Lonchura striata: one gene and its partners. The protein of the gene in region 1 interacts with the protein of each later gene in a pairwise test. Links are inferred from orthologs where the notes say so. Each region holds a gene or a part of one and is shown on either strand. Other genes may lie near its edges. The genes, in order: MAP2K3, FGFR4, PDGFRA and RASSF1.

Region 1 (7,920 bases):
TAAGAGTGGTGTGCTCCCACAGAGGGCACGGCCAGGGCACAGCAGGGACGAGGCACCACCACTTATTTACCCACCCAGAATAGACAAGCCACGAGAACAAGCACCAGTTCATCCCCAAGTCCTGGCATTCCTCACTGCTGGCTTTTCCAAGCCTCTGTGGTGAAGGAGAGCTGCCTCCCCAGAGGCACAGCCTGGCTCCAGACAGATCCTGATCCCTCTCCCCCCAAAAGCACTTCTATTCCCAAAGGACATCTCCCTGCTAAGGAAAAACACTTGTTTTTGAATTACTCAGGCATCGGTGCTGGGTGAACCAGGACAGGACAAGCAGGTCTTCTCCCTCGAGATCCCACCCATACACTCACCCTCCCTCTTTCCCCTCCCTGCAGCTGCTTTTCCCCAGAAAACTCCCAATATTTTGGGAAACAACTGTTTCCCCAGCAGCACACTCCTGCCTGTCCCTCCAGGCATCAGGGGCCACTCAGGTCACAGCCAACAGCCCCAGGGATGGGCACAGGGATTTCCATGTGCAGGGCAGGCAGAAAATACACTTTGAGGCCCAGGGAAAAGGGTTTTGTATCCCCAGAGTCTCAGACCTTGCATCCTCCACTGTGTTTCTGCACCCACACAAAGGCTGAAAATTCCCTGAGGCTTCATCCCCTCCTGCTTTAACTTCTGGGTTACAACACCCTCTCTGCACAGCGTCCATTCACCAAAAAGGTGCAGACCTTGCTGGAAAATCACAGCCAGGCCCAGCCCCATGTTGCCAGCTGCAGCCAGAGGCTGTGTCCCTTGCAAAGTTCTGCAAGGAGGACACAGGGACAGCTCCAGAGCTTTGCTCCCAATTCCTTCCTACTGTGCCACCCAGGCCATGAGACACAGCTCGAGGGAACTTGGGTGACCTGAGAAAACAGGGAGTTTTTGCATATATGAGTAAACATCAGCCTCAACAGCGCAAGATAACACAGGAGACTTCTCCCACATACAAGATCCTGTGAGATAACTTGGATCAAACAGACAGGAGCAACGGGAAGAGGAAGAAAGAAAGCCAAAATCCTCCCTAAGAGCCACAAAATCCCCAGGAGGTGTTTATCTCCCAAGCTACGTTTAGTGCAGAGCAAAGCCCCGGCACAGCACCATTCCTGTCACCAGTGTCACGGCCAGCCACGTATCCCAAAAATCTCCCGAGGCAGGAGACAACCCCATGACTAAGCCAAAGTGATGGCAGGTGAGTTTTGGAAGGCATCTGCCACAAAAAGAGCCAACCAAGAGCTTCAACACAGCAGCCTCTGTTTACAACCCTGAGCAACACAAACCAAAGGAGAACCAGCAAAGGAAACCTGAGATTGTTCACTGAAATTCCCTAAGGAAAAGCAGGGAAATTTAGCTTAAATTCAGGCTGCCTGAAAGAGAGAGAAGCAGCTGCCATGAGCAGCAGGTACACACACTCAGACCTGTGAGCATCCCTGGAAAAACCAGCTGGGAGGCAGGTGCAAGCCAAGGAGAGGCAGGATGAGAGGAGGATCACACTCAGGGATCCACCCTCGTGCTGCTGCTGCTGTCCTGATGGAAGCAAAGGAGCTCAGGTCAGACGGGGACTCTGAGCTGCCAGCAGACACCAGCTGCTTTCAGCACACACAGGGTGACACCTCCAGCACAGGACACCAGGGTTAACTGCACGAATGAACCAGTCTGCCACAACCAACAGAAACCTCCACGCACAGAGCAGCTCCAAACCTCCTCTGAGGAAAGCACCGCGCTCCCAGGCGCTCCTCCAGGCATCACCTCTTGCTGTCAGCCACGCTGCTTCCCCCAAAATCCTCCAGGCCCAGCTTGAGCTTCATCTCCCATGGGGCACAAGTGGTCCCTGGGCCAGGCTCACCTCGTCCCTCCATCCACACATCCGCCGCTCCGGCACAGGCAGCCGAGGAAAGGTCTGCGCTCCGGTGTGCCAGCCTTTAAGAAGCCTGGATGATCCCTTCCAAGGCTGGATGGCTGGAGGCATGTGCTCCTACCTGTGAGTCAGCAGCTCCGAAAATCGCTGCTGATTCACCCCCTGCTTACACAGCAAACAGGAAACTCAGGTCCACATTCCCTCCGGATAAGACACGGATCGTTTCAAACCGGGGGGAGGTGGAGGAAAGAAAAAAAGAGTCACGGGAGGCGCGTTCATCTGCTCACATGGCTCCTGACTTCGACTTTCCAGAGCATCACTCCCGCACGGGGAAAACCCCTCGAATTTTATTCCGCGGATTCGAGAGGCAGCGGCCGCACTCCGTGCGCTCCCTCCTCCGTCCGGTGCGCGGATGGAGCCGGCTCCGGGGAGCACCGGGACACCGGCAGAGCCACCTCCCTGTCCCCATCCATCCCGGCACGTACCGCCGGCCGGTGCTCTCACCTTGCGATGGGCACCTGAGTCACCGTGCTGTGCGAATAACCCCGGTGACACACGGTCACGTTCCGCGGCTGCGGACAGCGGGACAGCAGCGCGGCACTCCCGGCACACGCCGGCACCGGGTCCCGGCCGTGCCCGGACACCGGCACGAGGCGACACGAGGGGACACGAGGCGACACGAGGCGACACGAGGCGACACGAGGCGACACGAGGCGACACAGCCCACGGCCGCAGTCCCAGCCCGCTCCGTCCCTCCCGGCCCAGCCCGGCGGGGGCTCCGCTGGCCCGCGGCTCCCAGCCCGGAGTTCCCGAGCAGCGGGAGCTCAAGGCAGGCAGGCGAAACTCGCGGCAAACAAACACAGCTCGCCTGTTCTTATCGCTCTCCCCACGCCAAACGCAGCCTCGCCCCGTCTCCCCCACCCCGCATCCCCACCGAGGGTTCGCAGCCCCCGGCATCGCGGCTCCGGGACCAGCGCAGAGGAAGCCGCGGGGAGCCCACGCCCGGCGGGCTGGGCAGCAGCCCCGGCCCCGCCGCCCCTCCCGAGCCCGCTCGTACCTCTGGGCAGGGACATGGCGCTGTGCGAGCCCGGCGGGCCCGGCCCCAGCGGCGCCCGCCGGTCCCGCCCGCCGCGGCCCCGCCGGCGGCCGCCCCGCCGGGCCCGCCCCCGCGCCGCCATTGGCCAGCGCCGCGCCGGGGGGCGTGGCCAGGGCCCCGCGCGGAAACGGCTCTGCGGTTCTCGGGCGCGGCTGTGAGGGGGAAGTGAGGCGGGCGGGTGCTGCTGCCCCTCAGGAGAGGTGGCCTCGGTGTCGCCGTCGTGGCCCCGGGGACGCTGCCCCGAGAGCGGCGACACTGCCGCGGGGTTGGGGCGCCGAGCATCCCCCCCTGTGCTGCTCCTCGGCCCTCACCTCCTCTGTCAGCTGAGGGTGGTCACTCACGCCTCCCGTGGGTCCCGCGTGCCGTGGGTGCCAGCGGCGTGTCCGGCTGGGAAATGGCCGGGGAGCCAAGGGAGCGGCCGGAGCTGTGTCAGGGGGGTTTGGGCTGGATATCAGGGAAAGGAAATTCCCCCCAGAAGGTGACCAGGCACTGCCCAGCCTCCCCAGGGGATGGGCACAGCCCCAAGGCTGCCACAGCTCCAGGAGTGTTTGGACAACGTTCCCAGGCATAGGGTGGGATTTGGGGGCCTGGAGTTGGACTGGATGATCCTTGTGTGTCCCTTACAGCTCAGGATGCTCTGATTCCATGGTTAATTCCTCCCTGAGTCACTGAGGAATCAACCCCTCCCAGACGTGGCACATCCTGGGGTAAGGATGCTCCCACAGCCACCCGAGCTGGGCTGCAGGCAGAAATGCTGGATACGATGTGAGAGATGCAGCTGAAAAAGCAAAAAAAATGAGATTCCAAGTGCCATTTTCTGGCTGGAATTCTTCGTGTGATCCATAAAGACCAAAGGAGGAGTTGGAGGGGTGGCAACTGCTGGCAGCACTGGTGAGATCGCAGCTGCTCTGCCACAGCCAGCTCTCAGCTTTGCAGAGAGTTTGGGATAAATCTGAGGACTGGAAAAACCTCCTCAAAGCCAGGCAGTAGAAGGGATTCGCTGCCAGAGGGAAGGAGCTGCAGGAGTTGGGATCTGTGGCTGCACGGGTGCCTCAAGCACCAAAGGCACCAGATCCAGCTGCACACTGAGGGTGGAAGAGCTCAAATGCAACATCAATTACAGGTTTTTAGCGGGGAGAGCAATTACCTTCCCCAGAGAGGTCGCAGATTCGCCACCTTTCAAGTCTTTCAACACAGACGAGGAGGAGTCTTTCCAAAAAAGCCACTGCTCTGCAGCCCAGCCGCGGGTCAGCAGCGCTGATGCAAGAGCTGTGGTGTCAGTGCAGGGCTGGGCCAGCTGAGGGGCCCTTTCTGACCTTTATCCACACGGATCTTGGAGCCAGCAGCGGGGTTTGAACTGATCCACACAGCTCTGGGCTGAGGCAGTGCTTGGGTGTGAGTTTTGGGGGGTCTGTGGCAGAGCAGAGCATCACCAGCTCTTTTACAAATGGGGAGCTGTGGGACCGGCTCTGACAGCTGGCCCTGCTGCTGGCAGCACCTGGGGTGTCACTGCGAGCTTGGGGACATGGCCCTGCTGTCCCCAAATGTGCACCATCCCCCTCCTGCATCCCTGGAGGCTGCTACATCCAGGGCTGGATGAAGCAGTGACTGGATTTGAGTCTCTGGCTCTCAATCCCAGGGGTGAGAGGGGACACACAAGTGTCACCAAGGCTGCCAGGCCTTCCAGCACAGGAGCTCTGCAGGGCACACAGGGAAATTGGGAGCACTCAGCATCCAGATCCAACAGGGTGGGAAGGCAGGGAGCACACAGACCCCCACGAGCTGTGAGGAAGGCACCAGAAGCACCCTCGAGGTCACCTCCCAGCCATGGTAGGGCTTGGGGATCTCCTGGGGGACCTCTCCACCTCTTCTGCAGCTTCCCATGGCTGCTTCTGCCTGCCCCTCCTCGTCTGAGCCGCTGTCCCAGGGAATCAGCACAGGCACAGGATCCCCATGGAGCCCGAGTGCTCACAGAGATTTTGGCAAGTTTTGCTGCAGTTTTGGCACCCATGGAAAGGCTCTCCATGCTTTCAGGGGCTGTAGGTGAACCTTTGGCTCTGGGTCAGGGCGATCACCGAGGGCAGTAAGGTGTTACACTGTGACATGAAATAACTCACAGAAGCAGGTTGGATGTAAAAGGAAAGAAAAAATAACTCAAAAAAGTAAACTTTATTTTCTGACTCTACTATATATACATTAGCAAAAATGGTAGTGGATTGGAGGGTGAAACTGCCACCTCTCCAGCTGCACTGGTCAAGCTAACAGTCTATAAATTCTCTCCACCCACAAAGAAGAATGTAAAACAGTTATTATTTACATGAACATGTGTGAGAAAACTCAGTAGAAATATGTAAATATTAGAAGGCATAGGAACTTTTAGAAGAACTTTAAAACTCTCCAAAGAACAGGGTGACAGTAAGGAGTTGCTCACCCATGTCTGGGCAAAACCTGCTTCTCCTTCCTCCTCTCTCCTAAAACTTCAGCCCTGCTGTGTCCTGAGCATCCCTGTGTGCTGGAGGGCATCAGCCCTCCCTGACAGCTCTGGGATCATGCCAGTTATCCCTCCCCTTCCTCCCTGCCACACGCCAGCCGTGCTGGGCCTGGCTGCTGCAGGCTTTGCATTCCCTGCGCTCCCCTGCTGTTTGTGCCTCCCTGCAGCAGCACACAGCTGCCAGGGAGGGGATGGGGTGAAGGACAACACCTCCTCACCAACATTCATGGAGAAGGAAGGGAATTTACCCCTCTGCCCAGCAGACACCCAGTCCTTGGGGCCAGGCTCGATGGGAGCGGGGAAAGAGCAGGAGACCAGAGCAGAAAACCAGTGCGGGGCCAGTAAAGGACTGGTAAAAAACAGTGCAGGACCAGTACAGAGCCACTACAGAACCGATGTGGGGTCAGTGTGGGACCAGTACAGAACCCGTACGGGACCAGCACAGAACCAGTGCAGAATTAGTGTGGGACTGGTACAGAACAGTACAGAACCCATGTGGGACCAGCACGGAACCAGTGCAGAATTAGCGTGGGACCAGTACAAAACCAGTGTGCAATTAGTGCAGGACCAGAACGGGACCAGTACAGAACCAGTACAGAACTCGTGCAGGACCAGTATGGGACCAGCACAGAACCAGTGTGGAATTAGTGTGGAATCAGTGTGGGACCGGTACAGAACTGGTACAGAAACCGTGTGGGACCAGTACAGAACCAGTGTGGAATTAGTGCAGGACCAGAACGGGACCAGTACAGAACTAGTACAGAACCTGTGCAGGACCAGTGCCGAACCAGCACAGAACCAGTATGGGACCAGCACAGAACCAGTGTGGAATTAGTGCAGGACCAGAACGGGACCGGTACAGAATCAGTACAGAACTCGTGTGGGACCAGTATGGGACCAGCACAGAACCAGTGTGGAATTAGTGTGGAATCAGTGCGGGACCGGTACAGAACCAGTGTGGAATTAGTGCAGGACCAGAACGGGACCGGTACAGAGCTAGTACAGAACCTGTGCAGGACCAGTGCCGACCCAGCACAGAACCAGTATGGGACCAGCACAGAACCAGTGCGGAATTAGTGTGGGACCAGTACAGAACCAGTGCAGAATTAGTGTGAGACCAGTGTGGGACCGGTACAGAACCAGTACAGTTACCTGTGCGGGACCAGTGCCGAACCAGCACGGAACCAGTGCGGAATTAGTGCGGGACCAGCGCCGAACCAGCACAGTACCAGTGACAAATCTGCACAGAACCAGTGCGGAATTAGCACGGGACCAGTACCGAACCCGCGCCGTTCCGGCGGCCGCTGGTGGCGGCGCCGCCCGCGCGGGGGCGCCTGGGCTGCCTGCGGTCCCCACGGCGGCGTTGGCGTTGCCCCTTTAAGGGCCGCGCGGCCGTACCAAAACAAAAGCGCGGCGCGGCCATTGGCTGCGGGGCGGGCACGTGCCGCACAGCTGGGGCTTCCTGCGGCCGCGGCCGCGCCGGGCCCGACCGCGCCTCGGCACCGGCACCGGCACCGCCATGGCGCACTCCGCGCCGCTCGGCCTCCTGGAGCAGGGCTGCCCCATCCAGGTGGAGCACGATCGCAAGCGGCGGCAGTTCACCGTGCGGCTCAACGGTAAGGGGCGGCGCTCGGGGCTCCCGGGACGTTACCGCTGCCCTCCGCCCTCCGCCCCGGTCCGGCCGCGCTGGCCGCTCCGGATCCCCGTTCCTCTTCAGCTCTCGCTGTTCCCCCCCTTCGCCCCACCCCACGTTGTCTCTCCCCCCTTTCCCCTCCCTGTTCTTCCTCCCCGTTGCTCTCCCCTTTTTTCTTCTTCTTCCTGCCCCTTTTTCCCGTTCTCACCGATTTCCCCCGTTTCTCCCGGTTCCCCCTCCTGCCGTGCCGCTGAGTCCCGCTGCATTTCCCCCGTGCTCTCCGCCCTGCCGCGGTGTGACCCCCCGCCCCAGCCCTTCCTGCACCCCAAAACCTTCTCGCAGGGGATGCGGCATCGCTGGGCTCCCTCGCTTGGGGTGTGTGTGCAGCCCGGTGGGGACACGGGCAGCTTGGGGGGCACTGCCCCGGTCCCCCCGGGAGCAGGTGCCTGCGGGGGATGTGGGGGTGCTGGGAACCGGGGCCCCTCTGGGGATGTTCCTTCAGGGAAACCCCAGCACGGTGGGTGCCGCGGTTCTGTAGGACCAACGACACGGATCCAAGCTGTGACAGCCACCTGTGGAGCTCTGGTGACACAGTGACCCCCAAAAAGTCCGTCACATATTGGGTGGAGTGAACAAAGAAAAAAAAAAAGTAGGTGCCACTAAAATTTCTCTGTGGTGCACTGATTCTTTCCCAGCCTTCATCTTAATGGTTAATTACAGATAGTCAACGATCCCGGCATCTCTTTCCCATCCATTTGTCATACTGAGAACTACTCTGGGTAAAACTGCCTCGCTGCCCTGCAGAAATT
Region 2 (7,639 bases), on another chromosome or scaffold:
AGGTGTCTGTTTACACACAGGCACAGAGAGCAGGGATTCACTTGGAAGATTTTCTGGCAAATCTTCCCTTGGCTGCAGTGGGTTGTTGCTCTGCTGACAGCCTTGCCTGCTGAGCAGTGATTGCAGTTGGCACATTTCAGAGCATTTGTGACATTGTCTCCTTTTTTTCCTTTTTGTTGCTCCCTTCAACGTGCAGGATGCCAGGAGCAGTGCCGGTTGTCGGACCGTTCCCGCCACAACAGTATGTCCGGGAAGAGTCAACTGGCCCAGGAGGCTATAGTTACTTCAGCCAAGACCTCTAGAGCAAGTTGCAGCACTATTCTCGGAGTTGTTGGTGGCCCCAGAGCGCACATCCTTTGCCAGCCCACAATGGTTTCATTATCCCTCTGGATAAGCAAAGCCCTACCCTCCTGTATACACCCGTTGAGCAGAACGGGGACTGAATCTGTCAGGAAAAGGATCCAGCTGGAAGAGACTTGCTAGACAGCAAATACTTCACTCCCTTAGAGTAGTTTTCATTGTGTAATTGCTTCCTGTGAAGGTGGGTGTGGTGTGAGAGGAAGTGTCTATCTGGTGTAAGGAGGGCTTGGCAGCAAGCTGGTAGTGGCACCTTCTCCCTGTCCCCTCTGGTGGGCTGCCCATTCTGCTGCTGGACTGTTGTCAGAGGGCACCAGCACCCATGGGCACACCCAGGATGACAGGAGGGGACCTGGAGCCTGGCTGTGGGACCAGAGCCACCCACATGGCCGGGAAGCTGAGGATGGAGCATGGTGCCTGTCCCTAGGTGTGCCCTGGTGTTGGTGTGCTGTTGGCCCAGCTCTGCGCCTCCCTGCCCCGGGCCACAGCTCTGGCTGTGTCGCCAGTCTGAACTCCATCGCCTTCTGGGCTGGCAGGCGCAGGACAGAGCGTAGAACCACCCAGCAGCCACATCCTCCACAGAAGCACCACAGTCCCCTGCCCAGGCCGCAGCCAGCTCTGTGGAGCCTGTTGCTCCTCCAGCAGCACACCCAGTATCCCTGCCTCAGCCAGGAGAAGCTCAGTCCTGGCCACAGTCCCAGCCACTGCCATCCCTCGTGGCCCCGCAGGCTCCATTGAGTAAATCAAGTGCAGATGTGGAGTCAGGACCGGGTGCCTGCTTACAATTAGGGGCTGGGAAAATTGGGTGGCCCCATTCTTGCTTTGCAGTTCCTTGCCATGGCTGCTGCTTTACCAGGCTGAACCCCCAAATGTTGTGCAGGGGACAGGGCTGGTGAGTAAAGCTCCTGCTTTCTTGGCCACAGATCAGCACTGTGTTGCCCAACCCAGCACATGGTGTGTGCCATGTTCCCATGGGGAGCAGGAGATGTTCTGGCCCCATGCACCTCGTTCCCCGTGCCAGCTGCAGCTGCAGCACTCCCCCACACAGCCAGGGGAGGAAGAGGTGGCAGGGCTGCAGCAGGACAAGGCATGACACTGCCCACCCTCCTGCCATATTGCCCTCAACTTGTGTGTTCCCCACTCAGCCTTCACTGCCCAAGTCTGTGGATGCTCCTGTGCCATGCTGGGGGCTAGAAGAAGCCTGGGTCCCTGATATCCCTGTCCTGCAGCCCCTGCACTGGGCCCCACATTCTTGGCTCCCCAGAGGGAGCAGCAGGCTTATGTTTGCCAAGTTCTGCCTGGTTAAACCTTAACCAAGCTGGGTTGCTCCATCAGTCCCTCCCAGCCAGAGATAAGGATGGGCAGGAAAGACCACGGCCTGATGGGGCATACTGCCCCAAACCTGGCTGCTTGCCTCCAGGGCAGGACCCAGCCCCTGCAGAGCATCCTGCCCAGTCTGGGGCAGCTGCCTGCCTATCCAGCTTGCTCCCTCCCTTCCTCAGCGGGCCCCCACTGATATGAGGGCAGCAGGTTGTGGCTGGGGCTGGAAGCTACCATGTTGAAGCCAGTGGACTGGATGGAGCTGGAAACCCTTGCTCCAGGGCTGACCCACTCCCTCAGTGCCAGAAGGTTCACATCACCCCAGCACATTGAATGAGCATGCTCAGCCTCAGATCCTGTGCACGTACAGTGAGCTGGGGCTTCTGTGCCCCAAACAAGAGCCGTTCAGGAGAGGCCAAGAGAAACTTCCAGGAGGAAAGAGCCCCCCAGGCTCCGGCCCCCACAGGAGCCACCGTGCTGCGCGGGCTCTGGCTGGCCGCAGGTGCCACCACAGCGGGAGTGGCGGCAAGTGCTGGGGCCAGGCACAAGGGGCGGCTGTGTTCCCGCAGCTCCGGCTGCCTTCCAAGAGCAATATTGTTGGCACCAGGCAGGCTCCCTGCACCGGCAGCACATACATGGGCCTTTCATGAGGAGAGTGGGGATGATTTACTGCCTGGGGGAAGGGGCAGGGGCGGGAGGATGGAGCCCCAGCATGCCGGCGCCCGGCCCCTTGTGCGTGCTCGCTGCTGCGGGGCCCCGCACATATTAGCAAGGCCAAGGATCTGGCAAGGGGGTCGTCTCTCCCAACGGGACATGGGGTAAGAGGGATCCCTCTGCAACATCTGTGAAGTTCTGAGAACACACTTCATCTCTGGGCACCGCGCTGTGAGCTGTCACTTGTGCCACAGTGATGGGGGCAGCCCATGAGCTGGGGGAGATGGCCATCAGAGGAGGGTGCTGGGGCAGGGGTGCACCCACAGCGCAGAGTGCTGTGCTGGCACAATCCCCCCTTGTTGAGCTGCTGGCGTGGCAGAAGCCGTTGTGGTGCTGCCGGCAGCGGGTGGCAGGCGGTGGGGCTGGGCTGCTGTGAAGGGCTTTTTGTTTGCCGTCAGTTGCTGTTATAAATCAAGCCAGGCAGCCCAGCCCCAGCCCAGCACTGCCCCATGGCAGGGAGGTGACCAGTTCCCAGCTGCCTACAGCAGAGCCCCACCAAGCCCTGGCCTGTGCCTGGCATTGTCCTGGCCCAGTGGGGATGTTCAGTGTGACACTGGGCAACATGCCCACACTGGTCTGCTTGCCCTTCTTCCACTCAGCATTGGGGAACCCTGGGATACAGGGAATCTTTCCATGTTCATCCCAGGCTGTGTCTCCCACAGGCTCCCCAGAGTCCCAGCTCTCCCTGGTGTTCCAAATACTGGGAACATCCCCTTCTCTCTGGTTTTAATTTGGTTTTGGTTCGAATTGAGCTGAACCCAACATTTTTCTGTGCTTCCGGCACACTGTGAACTCTGCAGGGGCGGCCGCTGCTCCGTGAAATTGATGTTCTCGTCCGCTTCACGCGTCAGCAGGAATGAACAGCTGCTGGGGGCTGCTGGCCCCCAGGACTGCTCTGTGCACCTCTGCACCCCAAGGGGACACACACCAGTACTCCAGATGGGGAGCAGCACAGGGTGGATGGTGCTATGGGAGATTGTAGCACCAACCAGACCTCACAGTGAAACCATGTCATGCTGGATGGTTTGGTGCAGTGGAGCAGCATGGACAAGGCTGTGCCCAGGACTCAGGTTTGATCCTACAAAAAGAGGGGTGACAGTGACAGTGTACCCCACTCACAGGGCCACAAGGTCCACGCCAGGCATGGGCAAGGCTGTTGTGTGGGGCTCAGCATAACCCTGGAAGATCTTGCTGGAAAGCAGATGGCGAAACAGATGCAATGCAGGAAAGGAGAGCAACTCTAGGGCCAGACCCTGGCCATGTACTGGGGGACACTGACCCCTCTTGATGGCAGCAGGATGCTCAGGGGACATTGTTCCTTGGGATCACGCCAACTCGAAGTGCCTAAGGCCAGGCATCCCCCAGTGTCCAGTGGTCTTGTATGGGCCAGCCAGCAACAGGGCTTGGGCATGGTGGGGTCTGCCTGCCCCAGCACAGGCAACAGCATAGGGAAGGTGAGGGCGAAGTGTTTATGGGTTGGATTAGGCCACTCCAACGCTGGCTCGCACCTTAGCCACGTTTTATGATGCTCCGTTATGGGCTCCTAATGAGGGTCACAGCCACTTTATGGCACTGACAGCGATAACGCTACAACTAATTATGGCACAATTAGCCAATTAGCGTGTGGGCTGCTGGGCACCCAGCAACGCTCAGCGCCCAGCTTGGGCCATGACAGCTGCTTGGGGCTGAAGTGCTCCCACCCCCAGCAATCGGGGGGAAACAGGGGTGGCCTTGCCCCCTGTCCCATCTGCTGCTCCCCACGCGTGGGGTCTGCCTGGAGGACAGCAGAGGGGAGCAGCCCCGGGTGTTTTGCAGCCCCCTGTGCTCCCCACCCGCGAGGGGAGGCTGTGCCGGCGGAGCCGGGACAGAGTGGGCCGGGGGCCGCCTCTCGCCGCTGCGGGGGAAAGGCCGGTGCTACCCCCCACCTTCCCCCGTCCAGCTCGGCGGCAGGTCGGTCGGTTTGCAGAGATGCCGGAGATGCGGGGCCGGTCCCCGTCCCCCCACCCCTCCCGCCTCCCCAGCGCTCCGGGCGGGGCCGCTGTAACCCGAGCGCGTCCCTACAAAGTGCCCGCGCCCCCGAGGCGGCGGCAGAGCGGGGCCGGAGCCAGCCGGGAGCGAGCCCCAGCCCTGCCCGCCGCCGGAGCCGTCCCGAGCCCGGAGCCAGAGCCGTCCCGGCCCTGCCGCCATGGGGCCACGGTCTGGGGCTCGGCGGCGCTGAGCCCGCTGTCCCCGGACTTTGCCCCGGCCCGCGCAGCGCAGGCGGCTCCGCCGCGGGAGCCCGTCACCGCCGGTAACCGCGCCGACCGCGACCCTCGCCCCCGGCACCATTCGGGCCCCCCCTCCCGGGACACTCCCCCCTGCCTGGGATTCTCCGTGGTCCCCCGCCCCCGGTTAACCTCCCCTAGAGCCCTGACCAGGCTGAAGCTGGCCGGAGAGGTCGAATTCCCGGCGCTCAAACGGGGTGTTTCCCACTCTCCGTGCCCCCTCCCATTCCTGCCCAGGGACCCCCGTGCTCTGCCTCCCGTCCATGCCCACCCACCCTCGCGGTGACCTGGGGACCTCGCACTGCTTCTCCCCGGTGCCTCGGGAGAGGAGGGGTCTGCCCGCCCGGATCCGCTCACCCGACCCTGCCTGTCCCGCAGGGTGGGACCCCCGCGCTGGGGGGGCCTGGAAGATGCGGCCCCTCTTGCAGGTCGTGGCGGGGCTGCTGCTGGCGGTAGCTGCACGGGGCAGGGCGATGGAGCCAGGTACGGCTGCGGGGGGCGACGCGGACCCGGGGGCGGTGGGAGTGGGTTCCTGCTTTCTGAATACTTTCTCCATCCCGGCTGGGCGGCGACCCCTGGGCTGGGATGCGAGTGCTTGCCCTGGGCATGCAGCCCCACCGCTCTGCCTGCAGGGCAGGGCTGGTGGGAACTGGGGACAGGGCACAGGGACCGGTGTTCCCATCACTGACAGGGGCAGGGTGGCTCCAGCCAGGCTGTCCCTGTGCTGCGGGGGCTTGGCTCGCTCGCTGGACACGCGTGGCAGAGAGGGGTTGTGAGACCGCTGTGGGCTGTGGCTGCTGTGTGTGACACCTGGTGAAATGCGGGCAGTGCGTGCCTCGAGGTGGTGGGTGCGGGAGAAGGATGCGTCCCCCGGGACCAGAGAGCAGCTGCCCCACATCCCTCCTGTGCTGGCCATGCACTGGGCTGGAGGCACATTCGTGCACTCCAGGCTCCTGCACATGGGCAGTCGTGCTGCCGTGGTATTGCTGTGCTGGCGACCAGGTTGTTTCTGCCCTCCACGGGCACATGCTGCTGCTGGCCATCGGCAAGCTGGGCTCCACTGCCAGCCGGGCACTGCCAGGGACAACCAGGCTTTAGGGGTCCCAGCCATGCTTGGGGCATGTAGAGGTCCGACGATGGGTGTCTGGAGGGGTTTGTTGCCCTCCTTCAGTAAGGCAGAGCAAGCTGGAGCACCCTGCACCGCTGGGAGTGGTGGAAGGATAGTGGCATGTATGGCCTTGGCCAGGGACATGCCATTGGGGAAATCATGTCCCCGTGCTTCAGGTCAGAGTCCAGCCCTTACCTGCTTCTAGGGTGGCAGAGCCAGGCTCTGGGCTGTGTCACACCACATGCTCTCCACACTAGGATGGGCATATGGAGGGGTCCTGCTATCAGGGAGGGGTGAGCACTGGGGTGGGTGCTCACCACATCTCTCCAGAGCTATTTGAGAGCCCCTTGCTGGAGTCAGAAGATGAACATCTCCTCCTGGACCCAGGCAACACATTGAAGCTGTACTGTGATGCCAACCAGAGTGGTGCCAGTGTGGTCTGGTACAAGGAGTCCCGGCCACTCGTCTCAGGAGGTCGCATCCACCTCCGTCAGAGCCTGCTGGAGATCTCAGAGGTCACCTACGAGGACTCAGGGCTCTATGTGTGCCGGGCACGGGGAACTGGAGAGGTCCTGCGCAACTTCACCATCTCTGTCGTGGGTAGGAGCCCCGGCAGCACCCAGCTACCCTTGGGGCAGCAAAGCAGCCACTGCCTGCCCAGCCCTGCAGGCAGGGATGTCCTTCTCAACCGTTTCCCTTTGCAGACTCCCTGGCATCAGGTGATGATGATGAAGATAGTGATGGGGACAGTCCCCACGGAGACCGAAATGAGGAGTCGGTCTATGTGCACAGAGGTCAGTGCCACACCAGGGCACTACAGGAGAGGGCAGGTGGGGCAGAACCAGGGGCATGGGGCACTGCTGCCTCCTGCTACCTGTACAGGCCCCCTCCCATTGTACATCCTGCACGTCCCCAGCTCCTTACTGGACTCACCCACACCGGATGGACAAGAAGCTGTATGCAGTCCCTGCGGGGAACACGGTGAAGTTCCGCTGCCCGGCCTCAGGCAGCCCCAGCCCCAGCATTCGCTGGTTCAAGAATGGTCGAGAGTTCCGAGGGGAGCACCGCATCGGGGGCATCCGGGTATGGGACAGCTCCTCCCACCACAGCTTCCCTCCCAGGATCCCTCTTCCCCAGCTCACCTCACTGCCTTACCTCCCTCTCTGCAGCTCCGGCACCAGCACTGGAGCCTGGTGATGGAGAGTGTGGTGCCCTCTGACCGTGGCAACTACACTTGCCTGGTGGAAAACAGGTTTGGCAGCATCCGCTACAGCTACCTCCTGGATGTGTTGGGTGAGGGTTCCTCAGCATGTGCTGATCTGGGCTTCCCCATACCTGGTGGGGTCAGAGAAAGGGGTGGAGGAGCCTCTGTGACCTACCCACTGATGCAGCTCACATGTCCCTCACAATCCAGGGACATGGGATGGAGACCAGGCTTGGGTTGCGCTGGTCTGTTTTAGGGTTGGGGAAGGGCCCAATGTGGCTCCATGGTGGGTGGAGAAGGAGGGAGAAAGGAGCCTGTACTCTGGGCCACCATGTTAGTGACACTGCTCTGCTCCCTGTGTGCAGAGAGGTCCCCGCACAGGCCCATTTTGCAGGCTGGGCTGCCTGCCAACACCACAGCCCTGGTGGGCAGCGATGTGGAGTTCTTCTGCAAGGTCTACAGTGATGCCCAGCCCCACATCCAGTGGCTGAAGCACATTGAAGTGAATGGCAGCAACTACGGCCCCGACGGGGTCCCCTATGTGCAAGTGCTCAAGGTAACAAGGGCTGGAAGCACTCAGGTCCCAGATACCTGTGCTAAGGTGGTGACAGGGGTGCACAGAGCTCCCTGAGGAAGAGGGATACTGACCGTCCATCCCTCTCTGACAGACTG
Region 3 (7,204 bases), on another chromosome or scaffold:
ATCGCTCCCGCCTCTGGTCCGCAGCCGCCTTCCCGACGGGGTGCGGACGAGCCCCGGGGGCTGGCGGCCGTGCCCTGGGACTGCTGCTGCCTTGCTAGATTTGTCGCTGCTGCTGCAGAAAAAGCCGTCCAAGTCCTGTTCTCTGGAACGGTTCCTGAGCTATGGGATCCGCGTCCAAAAATGTTGAGCAATGCCGTGGACAGCCAAAAAGCCATTTCCTACTTGCTCCTAGGACTTTTCCAGGGGACTCCAGCTTGGCAGAGGCTGGCAAGTTTGCAGCTCTGCGCTTGACAAAATCCAGAAGGTGGCCGCGAAGACTTTGCCCTTCCCGGGGTAGGAGGCAGTGGGGTCCAGCAGTCCGGCAGGGCATACGGCAGGGCTGGCACTCCCGTTGAGAGAGAAGCTGCAGGCTGGAAAGGCTCCAGGTACCAGCCCTGTCTAAATTCAGCATCCTCCCTTTCACCGAGACACTTTTTAAAAAAAAGACGGGGCGCGCAGGGATGGAGATCGGGTCGCCTTTCGGGGGTTGTATGCGTGCCTCCGCTCGGGATCTCGGGCATTTTAGGCTACCGGGCCAGGGGGAGCGAGGTGAGAAAGGGGATCTAAAGGAGGGAAGGTGATGAAAAACAAAGGGTGGGGGAAGGGACGGGAGAGCAGCGGGGTGAAGGAAGCGAGGGATGCGAGAAGAGAGGGAACCGCTTACTTGGTCGGTGCGCGTCCCCGCTTTCCCCCCTGGGGCGGGCACCGCCGCTGCCCGCGGAGCCCCGGCGGGTCGCTCCCGCCCCCGTGGCAGGAATGCGGCGCGGTGGCTGCCGCCGTCCCAATGTGTTTGTCATTAGCGCTGCCCGCGCTGCTCGCCGCCGCACCCCGACGGCCGGCGCGGCGCAGCGCTGCACCCCACTCCCCTCCGCGGGGTCGCCAGCGCCCACCGCCTGCGCCCCGCGGAAAGAAGACCTCCGCTCGGCTCGGAGCATCGGGGGAAAATAAAAAAAAAAAAAAAAAATTAAAAAAAAAACACGAAGAAAACCCCCAATAAATAAATAAAGAAAAACGGGAAAAAATAAACGAGGAGAAAACCGCGGGAGAAAAGGTGTAAAAAACGAAAAAGGTGGGGAAAATGCCCCGCACCTCTTACCTTCTCCTTTACAATCCGCAGCCCCAATCCTGCAGATTGTAAAACATCCAAAATATGTCCACGTCTTTTGTGACTTTCCCTGCTCAGCCGCGCTCTTTCCCTCCCGCTCGCCCTCCCTCCCGATCCGACTGTAATGGTCTCACAAACCGCGTCCCGTAATTGATTCAATGTTATAGACCATCCTTCCAAAACTAATCATTTGCTTTAAGTAAATAGCTGTCAGGAAATGAAGCCCCCCTCAGGCCCCTTCAGAATAAGAGCGTGCTGGCTCGCCCGGCGCCCCCAGCCCCGCGGCCGGAGGCGGGCGCGCCGGAGGGAGGCTCTTACGCAGGCAGGGGGGCCGTCCCTGCCTCCAGATTTCAGCAGCCTTGCAGGGGAGGGGGAGGTTGGCCATATGGCAGGGGCGAGGGGGAGGAAAGGGGGAAGCGGGGAGTTTTGCACTGCAGGGGGAGAAAATGAAAAAAAAAAAAAAAAAAAAAAAAAAAAGAAGAAGAAAAAAAATTACCCAAAAAACTTTCATGAAAACTCAAGAGTGCTCCCAAATTTCATGAATGAGTCTTCCCTCCTCAGACCCTCCAGGACGGTGGCTCGGGCGCCGCGCTCGATGTCCACGCTTACCGTGTGAGTTTATGGATGGGGAGTTTGATTTGGAAACGAATTCGCGGCTTCCTCGTGTCCTTTGTACACCGCTGCGCTCGGGTTTGGGCTAGAAAGCTGCACGGACGGCCGTGAGCCAGCCAGGACCAGAAGGCGCAGAGAGACAGGGGGAGAGACGAATCGCTAACATTTATGAATGAAAGACACAACGAAAGGTAACCTTCGCCAAGAGCCAGCCTCCCCAAAGCCCGCAGCTCCGACGGGACCGAGAACACTCTTCTCTTCGTCTCTGCCTTCGCTTTGCCCAGCTCAAACAGACCCCAGTAATAACCAAACCAGGGACACGACAAGAGCCGGAGGTGCCGGCAGAGGCGCGGGCAGCGCACGTCCGAGCCCGTCCTGTTTGAACACGCTCCAGACGGAGCTTTGATCCCCGCCGGGGAACCAGCACTGGGTATCTCTGCTCTGCTGGCCGTCGCTATCACTGGCGATAAGGGGTGGCCGAGGGAGCTGCCGGGGAGCTGCCCTCGCCGCCCTTTTGCTGCAGGCTTCGTGCGGAGCGAGGCGAGCGGGGCCAGCGGGGCGCGGCGATGCGGCGGCCGCGGGAGAGGGGGCAGTGCAGCCCCAGGAACGGAACGGCGAGGATGGAGCCGGTCCCTGCTCGCCGCCTGCCTTCTGGGGAGGGCACCAGCCCCACAGCTGTGTGCCGCGGCTTCTCCCCTTTCCTTCCTTCCCCAGTCCAGCACAACCACCACCCACACCTCTTTCTCCCATTTAGTATTAAACAAAAATTTCGTCTCGAAGTCAAGAGCCAGGACCCCGTGGTTTTTTTCTTTCCTAAGCGAGGGAGAGTTCAGCCTCTGAAACGAAGATGCCCTAAAGAGAATAGAGGCAGAAACGAGAACCAACTCCCAAGGATGCGCGCTCAGGGCTGAGGTACCCCTGTCTGGGCTCTCAAGGTTCCCGGCGGCGCTCCCGGCCCTTTGCACGCCCTCCACTAGTGCATCCTCGGCTCGGGTGAGTGCACAACCCCGCTATTGCTTCCACATGTTCCTCCAGGAAATCATCGGAGTCAGATCTATGAGCAGACCCTGGTCGGAATGCTAACAGGATACCGTAAAGCTTGTGAATAAACAACAGGCTCGCAGTGAGTCAAAAAGGCATGGAGGAAAGGAAAAAAAAAAAAAAAAAAAAAAGGCCAAACCAAACAAACAAACAACACAGGAGAAAAAAAACCCACACCGTACCCTGGAATTCTCCATCTGAGAGTGCGAGAGCACCCAGCATCCTGAACCCCTTAATTTGTAGGGGGAAATGCTTTATCATTACTTGGATCAGAGCTGCGGGCTCTCGCAAATTTAAACCCCTCAAAGATGAGCATCAACTGCCTATGCGCCGGGGCGATCCTGCAGGGCTCGGGCCGCGATGTTACCGGCGTGAGTGTATCTGGTTCAACACGCGGGGTGATTCCTGGCGAAATACCATCAGGATGGGATGTAATGCGAGAATTACTCTTTCGAAAAGAAAGGAGCAAAATGGAAGGGGAGGAGGCGCCTTCTGGTTGCAATTACCTGCCTCATTTGAATAATGCCTTTGTCACGATCATTATCGAGAGGTCGTTAACGGCTTCCACGTGGGATCTCACAAGACCCAGCCAAAAATAAAAATTTTAAACTAGGCGACTGGCAAGGCTGCCTGCTAGGCCAGTCTGGCCCTTCGGGCGGGGGCCCGACGGCTCTGCGGAAACAGTGGCGGAGGTGTACCGTCGCTCAGGCACCCTTCCGGGGAAAGCTTTCCCCGACGTAGCTTTCCCTTCCCCACGCCCGCCACCCCAGGAGCACCGAGCCGGCGGGAGCTGGGCTCTGCCCGCTCCTCCCTCAGGGAGAGGGATCCGGCGGTGCCTATGGATTGGTCCCGCGCTGGGGAGGTGGTAGTTAAAATAAACCCTCCAGGACGGCTGCTGAGCTCTGCCTCCCGCCCCGTGTGGTGCAGGGGGGTCCCGTCCACGGAGGCGAGGGGGACATGGGGTTAGCGAGAGGACAGGCTGGGGGTGGGGGATTTTTTACATCTCCCCTGTCCTCCCGCCTTCCCCTCCCCTGAAGGGCTGGAGCATAAAGCATCCCGTTAACGTGTGTTTATGTGGTACCAGATGGAAGCTGCACGTCTCAGACGAAGTGCGGCGCCCGTGCTAGAGCCGCTCTCGCCTGTTTATGCTGCCAACCTGCCCCCCGGGGTGGGCGGGTGTGTGTGTCCCCCTCCCCGGGCCCGCGGCGCCGTCAGAGTCCGGGCAGCGGGAGCACCGACGGCTCGGGTTATTGCGGGGCGGGTCTCTCCACTCTCAGACGCTTCCAGGGGGGCTGGGAGCCTTCGAGGCCCCTTTCCCCTCTCCCTCGCTCAGCATCCCCCTCCCTGGAGAAATCACAATTTGTTTCAAGTAATAAAGCGTTTCCTGCGGCTCTCTCCCAAGGGTGAGCCGGCAGCGGTTAACTGGTTAAGCCTATTGAACAATCTAATAGGTGGCTGGTGTGGCCACCAGCGGGACCGGGCAGGCGAGCGAGGGTGCCCCGGCCCGGGCTCCGCTGGAACACCCGCTGAGGGGCCGCAGCCTTTTGACTGGATGGGAAGGCTTGTCTGGGTTTAATTATCGTTACCCACGTTCAGCGGTGCACGGAGCAGTAGTCATCCTTTTTTTCCCTTTTAGAGCAGGAAGCCCCTGCGTGAAGAGCAGCTACAACCTGAAGCAGAGACCCCTCAACCCCTGAGAGAGGGAGAAAGCAGAGCAGCCTCACATCTGTGTTCACATCTATCGCCTAGGAAAGAGAGTACAGCGGTGAAGGCTGCCTCGCCTAGGAAGGCGAGCTAAGCTCGGAAACTCCAGGGGCCCGAGCCCCTTCGGGAAAAGTGTTCTGGCGGTGGGAGGGTCTTGTGTACATTTACAGTCCTGCCAGATTTTTAGATTTTTATTTATTTCCATCTTTCCACGAGTACAGATTCCCTCATTTTGTTTGTTCAACAAAATTTGGCTCTGAATAGCAGGGATCCCGTGTCACTGGGAGGACAGGCAGCCAGACAAAAAGAAATTAACTTTGCCCAGCCTGCCCTCCCTAGCCTTTATTTTTATTTGCCACATGGCTGTTCGAGGTAGTTCTCCGTACTATCGTTTTCCTTCCCCATGCCCGCCGTTTCCCCACCGAGGCCGCTGCTGCCACGACGTCGAGCTGTTTTGCTTTCATTGTTGCGTTTGGCTCTCGACATTAAAAGACGCCAAAAGAGCCGTGGACGCCTTATTCTTTAAAAAACAGACTGTTTTCCCTTTTGCTCCCGCCCTGACTTTTTTGACTGCGACAGAATAAACAGCCCGCTGTGGTCCAGAAGCAGGCTGGACGCAGTTCGGGGGCGAGGCCAAGCAGGGGGGAAAGGGGCTGGTACCCGCCTGGCCCTTCGCCGCGCCTGGCTCCGCGCCCCGCCCCGACCCCCGGGCGGGGAGCGCGGCCCCGGCCGAGCCGCCGCCCCGACGGGAGGGGAGGCAGCGCGGCCGGGGTGCCTGCAGCGCCGGCCGAGGGCGCGGGGCAGTGCCAGCGCCCCCGCGACACTAGAGGGCACCGGAGCCCGCGGGAGCGGCGGCCGAGCCCGGCGCGGCACCGCGCCCCGCCAGCCGCCGCTGCCTCTGCGCTTCATCACCGACCGGGCGGCTCGGAGAACATGGCGAGAGGCGCCGTCCCGGGAGCCTGATGGCTCCAGCCCTGTAGGGCCGGCCCGGACCCGCCTCAGCCGCTCGGGGGATGTGGCAAGCAAAGCAGAGAGATAAATTCCTCCCGTGCCACAAATGATAAGTTTTCCCTCTGAAATCAAAGGGTCGTCTGCTGATTCAGCCCAGGTTTGACTTCGGTTCGTAACTCCCGAGACCATTATCTCTGCCTTTGTTCTTTCGAGCTGCAGCAATTAATGGATTACAGCAGGACAAAACCACAGCCAGAGCAAGCTGCTTTCGTTCTGCAGCTATTTACTATTAGTACCAGCTTTGCTCCCCTCGGGCTACTGTGCTTGGGAACCCAGCCCTGAGTTCTGCACGGGGGAGCCGCATGGTATGGAGGCCACCCTGGATGTCGCGGCCGTGGTCACTGCGACACAGTGGGCATGTGCCAGCGTCCGCGTCTGTGTCGGTCCCCGCGTATGCCTGGGCTGCTCCCGTCCACCATACATTCCTACTGTGGGCACTGAAGAGCCAAGACAGGCTGAGCATCATAAAGTGTCAGACTGAGGAGAGAAACACATCTGTTACTGAGTACCCGGAACCCCCTTGTTCCAGGCAAGGGATGTCATTTTTCTGCTTCATCCAACAACAGGTTTTCTTCTGATACTTAGTGATAAATACACACCTTTGGGGTGATTTGCTGTGGAAATACTGGAGCTACAGCCAAGATTAATGAATTGTAATTAGGTTTCTAAAAGGATCCCTCTCTTCACCCGATCTTTCATGCTCCAAAATACCCCTGCAAACAAAACCTTGTCCCTCTATTTCTGTGGCATGGAGTGTTTCTGAACATGGATCTTCCCCATCCCAAGGACTGAGATGATGGAAAGGCATTAATGCTTCCTAAGAGCTTGCTGAATTGGGGTTTGTGTGGAGCCACCACTAAGAGTTGCAAGAGACAGCATCCATGTTGTTGAGTCAGCAAAAGGTTCCAGACCTGGAAGTAAATGTAGGCATTCCTCTTAGTCACTGAATTTGTTCAGTCATTTTACTCAAATTTACCAAGATTATGCTGGAGGTATGTCAGCAGGAGACATGAATCACAAGTTCATTCTTCTTGCAGCACTGTTTGTCCCCTGTACTCAAGGTTCTGTGGCCCTAATCAGTGATGGAAGGAATCAAGCAGGCACCAATCACACCTCAAGCCATTCAAAGAAGTAGCCAATGCCCATGTTCTCATTTTTCTTTCTTTAGTTCAGACACAGGAGAGACTGAAATATTGAAATGTCAAGGGAAACAGTTCCTCTCTTTTTTTTGTCTTCTCCAAAAGACTATTTGGCCTTTTTCTCCAAGATCAACTTGTTTTAGTCTGTACCTCATGTAATTTGCAGAGAGCATTTTCTGCCTCAGTTACATAATAATTTGCCTGTTTGTTGTTGACAATCCTTTAGAGAACTCAGTTATATGCACTCCTCTTGAGCAAGGTGGTCTTGGAGAGAGAAGTGAGAGTGTGAAATGAGAGGAAAATGCAGGTAAAGGTTCCTGTGGCCATGCATGTGAAGCTACAGTTCAGACTTTGACAGGAAAGCTCTGATGTGGCTCAAGAGCAGAGGATACAGCAGCATTTAGTTACATTATCATCCTTATACTGATGGCTTTTTTTAGCCAGATATTTTGCTTTTTAATCTAATTATCTTTTGAGAATGAGTATAATGTAGAAACTGGGCCAGATCCTGCTTTGTGTAAACCTGGTGTAACTAACTTCAAGGGAAACATTC
Region 4 (6,863 bases), on another chromosome or scaffold:
GCACCCCACTTCAAAGTGCTGGCCCCGCACACGGGGGACCGAGCGTCCTGGCTCGGCGTCGCTGCCACCGGCACCCGCTAATGAGTATTGACGCGGGGCCGCGGAGCTGCCACACAGCGCTGCACATGTCCCCACGGCACTGAGGGGTCCCCAGTCCCGACAGCCGCCCCACAGCATGCAGGCACTGCAGGACCCTGCAGGATGGGGACAGCTGTGAAGCTGCTCGGGGAGTTTGTCCCGGCACCCCCAAAACTCCAGCAGCTCCAGCCCTGAGGGGACCTTGGCATGCCCATGCCAGGCAGCGAAACTCCACTCGCCCCACATCCAACCGGACAGGGCCACCGTGTCCCCCGGCACGGCCATGCTCGACCCCACTCCTGCCCCACAGCAGGGCCAAGCTCACCTCTAAGAAAAGACCACCGACACCTCTAGTTTCCCCACGCACCAAGCCCACCCTCGCCTGCTCCCCAGCACCCAGCCGGGGGAATGTGCTCCCGATGACGTCACCCGTGTCCCCCATTACGTCACGGCCCGGGACCGACCTGGCGGCGGCGCGGGCGGCGGCCGAGGGAGGTGCGGGCGGTGTAGAAGAGCTCGGGCTCGGAGTCGGAGTCCTCCTGGCTGCAGTAGCCGCTGCTGGCCGTGCTGCCCCCCGTGCCCCCCGCGCCGCCCCGCCGCAGAGCCAACGCCGCCGCCCCGCAGCCCCCGGGCCCGCCGGCCCCCGGCCCGGCCACGGGCACGGCGGCGGTGGCGGTGGGCACGGCCCGGCCCGGCCGCCCCGCGGCCCCGCCGGGGCGGCGAGCACACGGGCACGCCCGGCCTCGCGCCAGCCCGACCGGCCCCCGGGCCGGGGCCCGGCTCGCTCCGCTCCCGGCTCGGCTCAGCCCGCTCCCGGTCCTTGGCCCGGCTCCGCTCAGCCCGGCCCTTGGCCCGGCTCGGCTCCGCTCGGTCCCTATGGCGTCTCGGCTCCGCCCGGTCGCACTCTCAGTCCCGGCTCAGCTTCGCCCGGTCCCTATCACCGTCCCGCTCGGCTCCGCCCGGCGTCTATCGCGGTCCCGTCCTCGGCTCGGCTCAGACCGGTCCCTATCGCGCTCCTGTCCCGGCTCGGTTCGGCGCGGCGTCTACCGCGCCCTGCCCGCTCCCGGCTCAGCGCGGTCCCCCCCGCCCCGCCCCGGCCGCGGGGTGACGCGGGCCGGGGGCGGCGCGGCGGCCCCGCTTCCGGCGGTGACTTCACCCGCGCCCGCCCGGACACGGCTGAGTCCCGGCTGCGCTCGGCTCGGCTCGGGCACGGTGTGGTGCGGGCGGCGCGGCACGGGCAGGACACAGCACAGCCTGGCTTGGCACAGCATAGCCCGACATGGCACAACATGGCATGGCACGACCTTACTCAGCCCAGACCAGCGCAGTGCAGTCCATCAAGGCTTGGCACAGCCCAACGTGGCACAGCATAGCCTGGCATGGTGCAGCCTGGCATGGCACAGCCTGGCATGCTAGCTGCACTCAGCTCAGCTAAGCCCAGCCAAGCCCAGCTCAGCAAGGCTTGGCACAGCCTGGCATGGCACAGCCTGGCATGCCATGCCATGGCCTCACATGGCACAGCCCAGCTCAGCCCCCCCGAGCCCAGCGTAGCCCCCAGTTTGCCACTCCCTGCGCAAGCTCTCCCTCACAGACAGGCACAGGCCTTACCACGTTGGTGTCCTTCTCCAGCACCTGCTCATTGCCATCGTCCTCATCACCAGCACCTGGGGGGCCACCGCAGTCCAGCTGCACCAGGGCCCGGCACCGGTAGTGGCAGGTGAAGCTGCAGTCTGGGGACAGAGACAGAAGCAGGGTCACCACTGTGCACAGCCTGGGGGTCAGGGCACTGGCTGGGACAAGGGCTGGCACACGGTGACAGCATCAGCTGTCTGCTCATGCTGTGCCCAGGGGCTCAGGGAGATAGCACTGTGCCATGTCTTGGCCAGGGCTGCTGTGTTCCCTGCTGTGCTGGCCAGCATGGTGTGCTCAGTGCCTGGTACTGGGCTGCCCAGTGTGGGTGTCTAGTGCTGGGATTCCCAGTGGCCAGTGTGGGTACCCCATGCTGGAATACCTGGTACCTGGTGCAGGTACCCAGTACAGGGATGCATGGTGCCGTGTGAGGGTATTCTGTATGGGGCTGCCAGTGCCTGGTGTGGGTGCCCGATCCAGGGGTGTCCAGTGTTTGGTGGCAACTCCTGGTGCCCAGAAGCCCAGTGCCTGCTGCAGCTGCCCAGAATGGTGATGCCCAACTTAATGGAAATGCCTGGCACCAGGATGCCTGGTGGGGGTAATTATTATTGAGGTGCCCTGTGCTGGGATGTTTGGTGCCTGGTGCGGGATGCCTGTGCCCAGTGGTGGGGCAGCCGGTGCACAGTGAGGGGGCCCACTACCAGAGGGTGGGGGCCCGTGGGGGTGCCCGATGCCCCACCCGCTGGTGGTGGGAGTGTCCGGTGGCAGCATGTCCGGTGCTGGGAAACTCATGCCCACCAGTGGGACAGCCGGTGCTCAGCGGGGCTGCCTACTACCAGGATGCTCGGTGTCCTGTAGAGGTGGCCGGTTGGTGGGATGCCCGGTGGGAACGCCCAGTGGTGAGTGTGCCCGGTGGTGGGGATGCCCGGTGCTCGCTGGGGGTGCCCGGTGCTGAGGAAGCCGAGCGGCGGGACGCCCGGAGCCTGGCGGGGGTGCGGGCGTGCCCGGCGGCGGGGGTGCGGGGGCCCGGGGCGCGGCGCGGTACTCACGGCGGCACTGGAGGCTCTTCCTGCCGCCGCCCCAGACGAAGTCCCCGCAGAGATCGCACCAGGTGTGCAGCCCGCGGCGCCGCGGCTCGAAGCGGTGCCCGGCGCCCGGTGCCGCCGTCAGCCGCGGGTCAGGGTGCGCCCCGGGGCCGGGCCGGCGGGCCGGGCTGATGCGCAGCGCGTTGGCCCGTTCCAGGCGGCCCCGGCCCGGCCGCGGCTCCGGCTGCAGCTCCCGCAGCTCGATGAGCTCCATGGCCCGGCGGCCGCGGGCGCAGCTCGGCGGCGGGGCGGGGGCCGGCACCGGGCCGGGGCCGGGGCCGGGGCGGGGATCGGGAGGGGCCGCCTCGATCGGGCACTGCGGGGAAACTGAGGCAGGAAAGATGGGGCTCAATGCCCCGGGCTCCCGATCGCCAACTCCAGTCCCGGCGAGCCCGGCGGGGCGGGCTGGAGGCGGGGATGAGGTTCCCGGAGCCGCCGCGGAGGAAGGGGGGCCCGCTGCAGCCGCTCCGCTCTCTCTGCCTCTTCTCGCAGGAGGAGGACAAACTGTGCTCCCTGCCTCAGTTTCCCAGTGAGGAAGGGGCTGGAAGCACCCCTGGCGGCGGGTGAGAAGCAGACCGAGAGCTACGGAGAGCGCTCCTGCTCCCGGTGGCTGCAGCCCTGGACGTGCAGCACGGGTTTGGGGTGAGGAGTTTATTGAGCTCCGGGCGCGGGCTGCTCAGCCGCGGCTGCAGCTGGACGAGATGGTTTCCTGCCTGCTGCCGTGGCTCCTGCAGCAGCAGCCTTGGTGCAAAGCTTATTTTTATGTGTCGGATTCTCCAGTGCCCCATCAGAAAAAGGACATGGCCAACCTTTCCCAGCTGTGCTCAGACCAAGGCTCCAGCCCTTTGGCAGCAGCTGCTGACCAGTGAGATGCACCCCAGGGTATCCCCACCAGTAGAACCTGTTTACTGGTAATGCTGGTGGGCAGAGGACCAAGCCCTTGGTGCTAACATCACATCAAGAGCGAGGAAATGGGGTGAATTGTCCCTGCAAGGTGGGAGATGACAAATACCCAAGAAACTCTTTCTCACAGCAAGATGCTCGTGCAAACCACATCCTCTGCTCCCCACGCTGCTCTAACAATGGTGAGACGGCACAGAAGCCTTCTCACTCCCTTCCCTCCCAGATGCAGTAAGGTAACCATACCCTCACAATTTTTTTCGGGTTCTCAGGGATTTCTGTTGTTGCAGAGAAAATGGACACACGCCTCCCACTTTGTGGAAAGGAGGGGACGAAGCAGTTTGTTACGTTCAGCTAGGAGAGAAAACACAGAAGCCAAGCAACTGTGGGATGCACAAGGAGGTTTATTGGAGAAGGCAGAATGGTGAGGTGGTGGGAGAGGAGAGGATAGCCCAGGCTTGTGCTGCCTGCAGCTGGGAGCAGGCAGAAGGGGCCCTTGCCAGCTTCTTTCCCGCTCTGGGCTACACACCAGGGGAACCTCCGACTCTGTGAGCCATGGGCCAGTTGCCAGACACCACTTTTCTTACAGACCATCCACACTCCTTGGCACCTCAGCCATCAGGTTGCAGGCAGGCTTGTGCTTCTGCCAGTGCTGCACCTGGCATGCCCTGCAGAGGGGGAAGCTGCTGTCAGGGGCACTGGAGTCATATCCATCTCTGTTGGCAAAGCAGCAAGAAGGACAAACTCCATGACCGCACCCTCTGTGAGCTGGGAGAGAGCTGATACAGCCCAGCATTAGACTAAGAGGGGGTGGATGCAGCCCCAGTGCTGGGGGTTAAGAAGGTTTAACGACAGACCTTGCCAGATGGTCCAGGACCAGAGATTTAATTTACTGCCACCGTCCCAGCTGCCACATCCCAGCTTGTCACCTGCACCCATGGGGTCATGGGTGCTTTCCTACTTGTGCCCCACCAAGGTGGGAGGAGGAAGACAGTGTCACCATGGAAAACCCAGCCTGTCACTGCTGTTGCTGTGGGCAGAGGCAGCTCAGCACCTCAGCAACATAACCTTCACCAACACCTCCTCCACCAGCAGCCCAGCACATCAGCCTCCCCACAAAATTCACAGAGGTACATGGCCAGCAGAGAGCTGGTGGTGCTGAGCAGTGGTGGGACCCCTGGCTTTGCTTGGCCCTCCCACAGAATTCTCCAGTGAGACCCTGTGGTGCTCTGGGGAGTACTGAGGAGCTGCAGGGAGGCCCAGGGGGGCTGCAGGGGTCCCAAGGGGGTGGCAGGGCTCCCTTACCGTGTGCAGTACCACTCGTTCCGGCAGCGAGAGCAGCGCTTGGTTGCTTCTACACCACACACCCTGCAACGGGGCTTGTCAGGGGCCAGAGCCTCCATCATGTCCAGGCTGTAGGTCTGTGCCCACCTGTGCAGGCAGAGAGGGATGAGGCTGCTTACAGGGAATGGCCGACAGTGAGCTATCCCTGTTGCACCCTGCCACTGAGGGGACATCTCCAGCCAGTGCCACAGGACCCCTCTGTCCTCCCAGTGACGAGCTCCAGCTCTGCTCATGGGGATACTGGTTCCACTGGGCACTCTGCAAACCTGCTCCAGCCTCACCTGCCTGCCTGCAGCTTCAGCTCCTCCTCAGTGGGGCTGAAAGCGTGCTTCACCTGGTGCTTGGCAATGGCCTCCCACTTCCCTGAGTTTTTCTTGAGGATATGGTCCCAGATGACAGGAACCTGGTGGGAGATGCAGTGCAAGAAGAAGAGGTGCTAACAGCCTGAAAAGGATGCTGTAATCTGGGGAGAAGGCAGCCAGCCCTATGCACAAGACGCATGGTCCTCCAGGAGGGCAGGCAGAGGTGGTCAGGGTATGCTTTTGGGTACATGGAGGGGATGGATCCACCCTCCAGTGGGCATTGAGATGAAACAAGGACCTCTTTGGGGTCCAGCTGGGAGTAAGTGTTCAGCCTTGAGGCCTGTGCTGCTGAGAAGAAAGCCCTGAGACCTCAGCACCCTGCGTGTGGCAGCAGAGTGAACCCCATGCTCCAGAGCCGTTTGTCTGAGCAGATTTTTCCGCTCGTCATTTCCCTGAAGATGAACACCCGGGGAAGGGCTGGCCGGCCAGAAGGAAACATCCCAGCCAAGAGCAGCGTGCTGAGTTCGGCTCTGGAGGGGACCGTGCAGCTTCAAACAGCGCTGCCTTCTCCAGCAGAGTAAAAATAGCCAAGGAAGGGGAGGAGGCTGCTCTGGAAGCAGCCAAATGGAAAAAGTCCGTTCCTTAGCTTGGCTCAGCAACAAGGAGTGAGTTCAGCACTCTCTGGGCAGAGCAGGGAGCCCATATCTGTGCTTCCCGCTGCCTCCCTGTGCCTGCCCCCAGGCTCAGCCCTAGCCCTTGGCAGGGGCAGGCACAAAAGCAGAGCTATGGAGAAGGGCAGCAGCCTGACTGAGGGCTACAGGAGGTCCCCAGCATGCAGCTGCTTGTCACTGTGCCACCAACACGCTGGCAGTCAAGCATGGGGTGTGAATCCATGTCCACCTTGCTCTGATGCCAGCCCCAGCCCCAACAGCTCAGCTTGCCATTATGCAGCTTCCCCAGCTCCAGCTCCCAGCCTGGGCCGTGTCTCCAGCTCAGCCACAGGCACCTCTGACAGGGCACATCACCCTCCTCCCAGGCCATGCCGCCAGCTGCGATGGGGACAGCGTGCTCCCATTGGGGACAGCGTGCTGCCACTGGGGACAGCCCAGACGGCCACTGCCCAACAGACCCATCTCCTCCAGGAAGCAGTGTGGGAGCCTCTGGCAGTGGGGAAGAGCCCCTCTGCTCCCAGCTTTTCTCAGCAGCCTCTTTGCAGATCTGCCCCCATACTCAGTTTCTCCCCTCAGCTCACAAGAAGGCAGTAGAAACACATAAAAACACTTTTCTCCAGAGATTACCACTGCATGGATTAAAGCCCCCAAGAACCTCTTTGCTGTTTAAAGACTTTCATGGCCTAACTCCCAAAGGCCCAGACACCAGCTGGGACCAGTTTAACTCCAGGCTCTATCACCAGACCATGATGCCCCTCTGTACACAGTGTGCCAAGCAGCCTCAGACCAGGGCTGTAAAAGGGTACTTCCCTGGGGAGTCCAGAATTCAACATGAAAACACTGATAGATGTCAA

Evidence for each region.
Region 2: the proteins of MAP2K3 (region 1) and FGFR4 come close enough for resonance energy transfer, tested with the Homo sapiens proteins (2 studies listed by BioGRID). The link is inferred for Lonchura striata from reciprocal best matches to the Homo sapiens genes MAP2K3 and FGFR4.
Region 3: the proteins of MAP2K3 (region 1) and PDGFRA come close enough for resonance energy transfer, tested with the Homo sapiens proteins (2 studies listed by BioGRID). The link is inferred for Lonchura striata from reciprocal best matches to the Homo sapiens genes MAP2K3 and PDGFRA.
Region 4: the proteins of MAP2K3 (region 1) and RASSF1 come close enough for resonance energy transfer, tested with the Homo sapiens proteins (2 studies listed by BioGRID). The link is inferred for Lonchura striata from reciprocal best matches to the Homo sapiens genes MAP2K3 and RASSF1.

The regions. Positions count from the first base shown.
Region 1 is NC_134618.1:15,094,154-15,102,073, forward strand, and holds the start of MAP2K3 (dual specificity mitogen-activated protein kinase kinase 3), read right to left. Parts: upstream 3,005-7,920; 5' UTR 2,965-3,004; coding exon 2,949-2,964; intron 1-2,948. Other genes in the region: protein NATD1, read left to right, coding at 6,998-7,094. UniProt on the Homo sapiens protein: Dual specificity kinase. Is activated by cytokines and environmental stress in vivo. Catalyzes the concomitant phosphorylation of a threonine and a tyrosine residue in the MAP kinase p38.
Region 2 is NC_134617.1:3,321,017-3,328,655, reverse strand, and holds the start of FGFR4 (fibroblast growth factor receptor 4), read left to right. Parts: upstream 1-4,626; 5' UTR 4,627-4,681; intron 4,682-5,033; 5' UTR 5,034-5,065; coding exon 5,066-5,138; intron 5,139-6,093; coding exon 6,094-6,363; intron 6,364-6,467; coding exon 6,468-6,557; intron 6,558-6,679; coding exon 6,680-6,846; intron 6,847-6,932; coding exon 6,933-7,056; intron 7,057-7,332; coding exon 7,333-7,523; intron 7,524-7,635; coding exon 7,636-7,639. Other genes in the region: ZNF346 (zinc finger protein 346), read left to right, coding at 197-302. UniProt on the Homo sapiens protein: Tyrosine-protein kinase that acts as a cell-surface receptor for fibroblast growth factors and plays a role in the regulation of cell proliferation, differentiation and migration, and in regulation of lipid metabolism, bile acid biosynthesis, glucose uptake, vitamin D metabolism and phosphate homeostasis.
Region 3 is NC_134606.1:26,993,043-27,000,246, reverse strand, and holds the start of PDGFRA (platelet-derived growth factor receptor alpha), read right to left. Parts: upstream 3,010-7,204; 5' UTR 2,995-3,009; coding exon 2,980-2,994; intron 1,358-2,979; exon of another isoform or gene 1,136-1,357; intron 1-1,135. UniProt on the Homo sapiens protein: Tyrosine-protein kinase that acts as a cell-surface receptor for PDGFA, PDGFB and PDGFC and plays an essential role in the regulation of embryonic development, cell proliferation, survival and chemotaxis.
Region 4 is NC_134614.1:8,485,297-8,492,159, reverse strand, and holds the start of RASSF1 (ras association domain-containing protein 1), read right to left. Parts: upstream 3,007-6,863; coding exon 2,757-3,006; intron 1,809-2,756; coding exon 1,687-1,808; intron 1-1,686. Other genes in the region: ZMYND10 (zinc finger MYND domain-containing protein 10), read right to left, coding at 4,276-4,360, 4,998-5,123, 5,318-5,439. UniProt on the Homo sapiens protein: Potential tumor suppressor. Required for death receptor-dependent apoptosis. Mediates activation of STK3/MST2 and STK4/MST1 during Fas-induced apoptosis by preventing their dephosphorylation.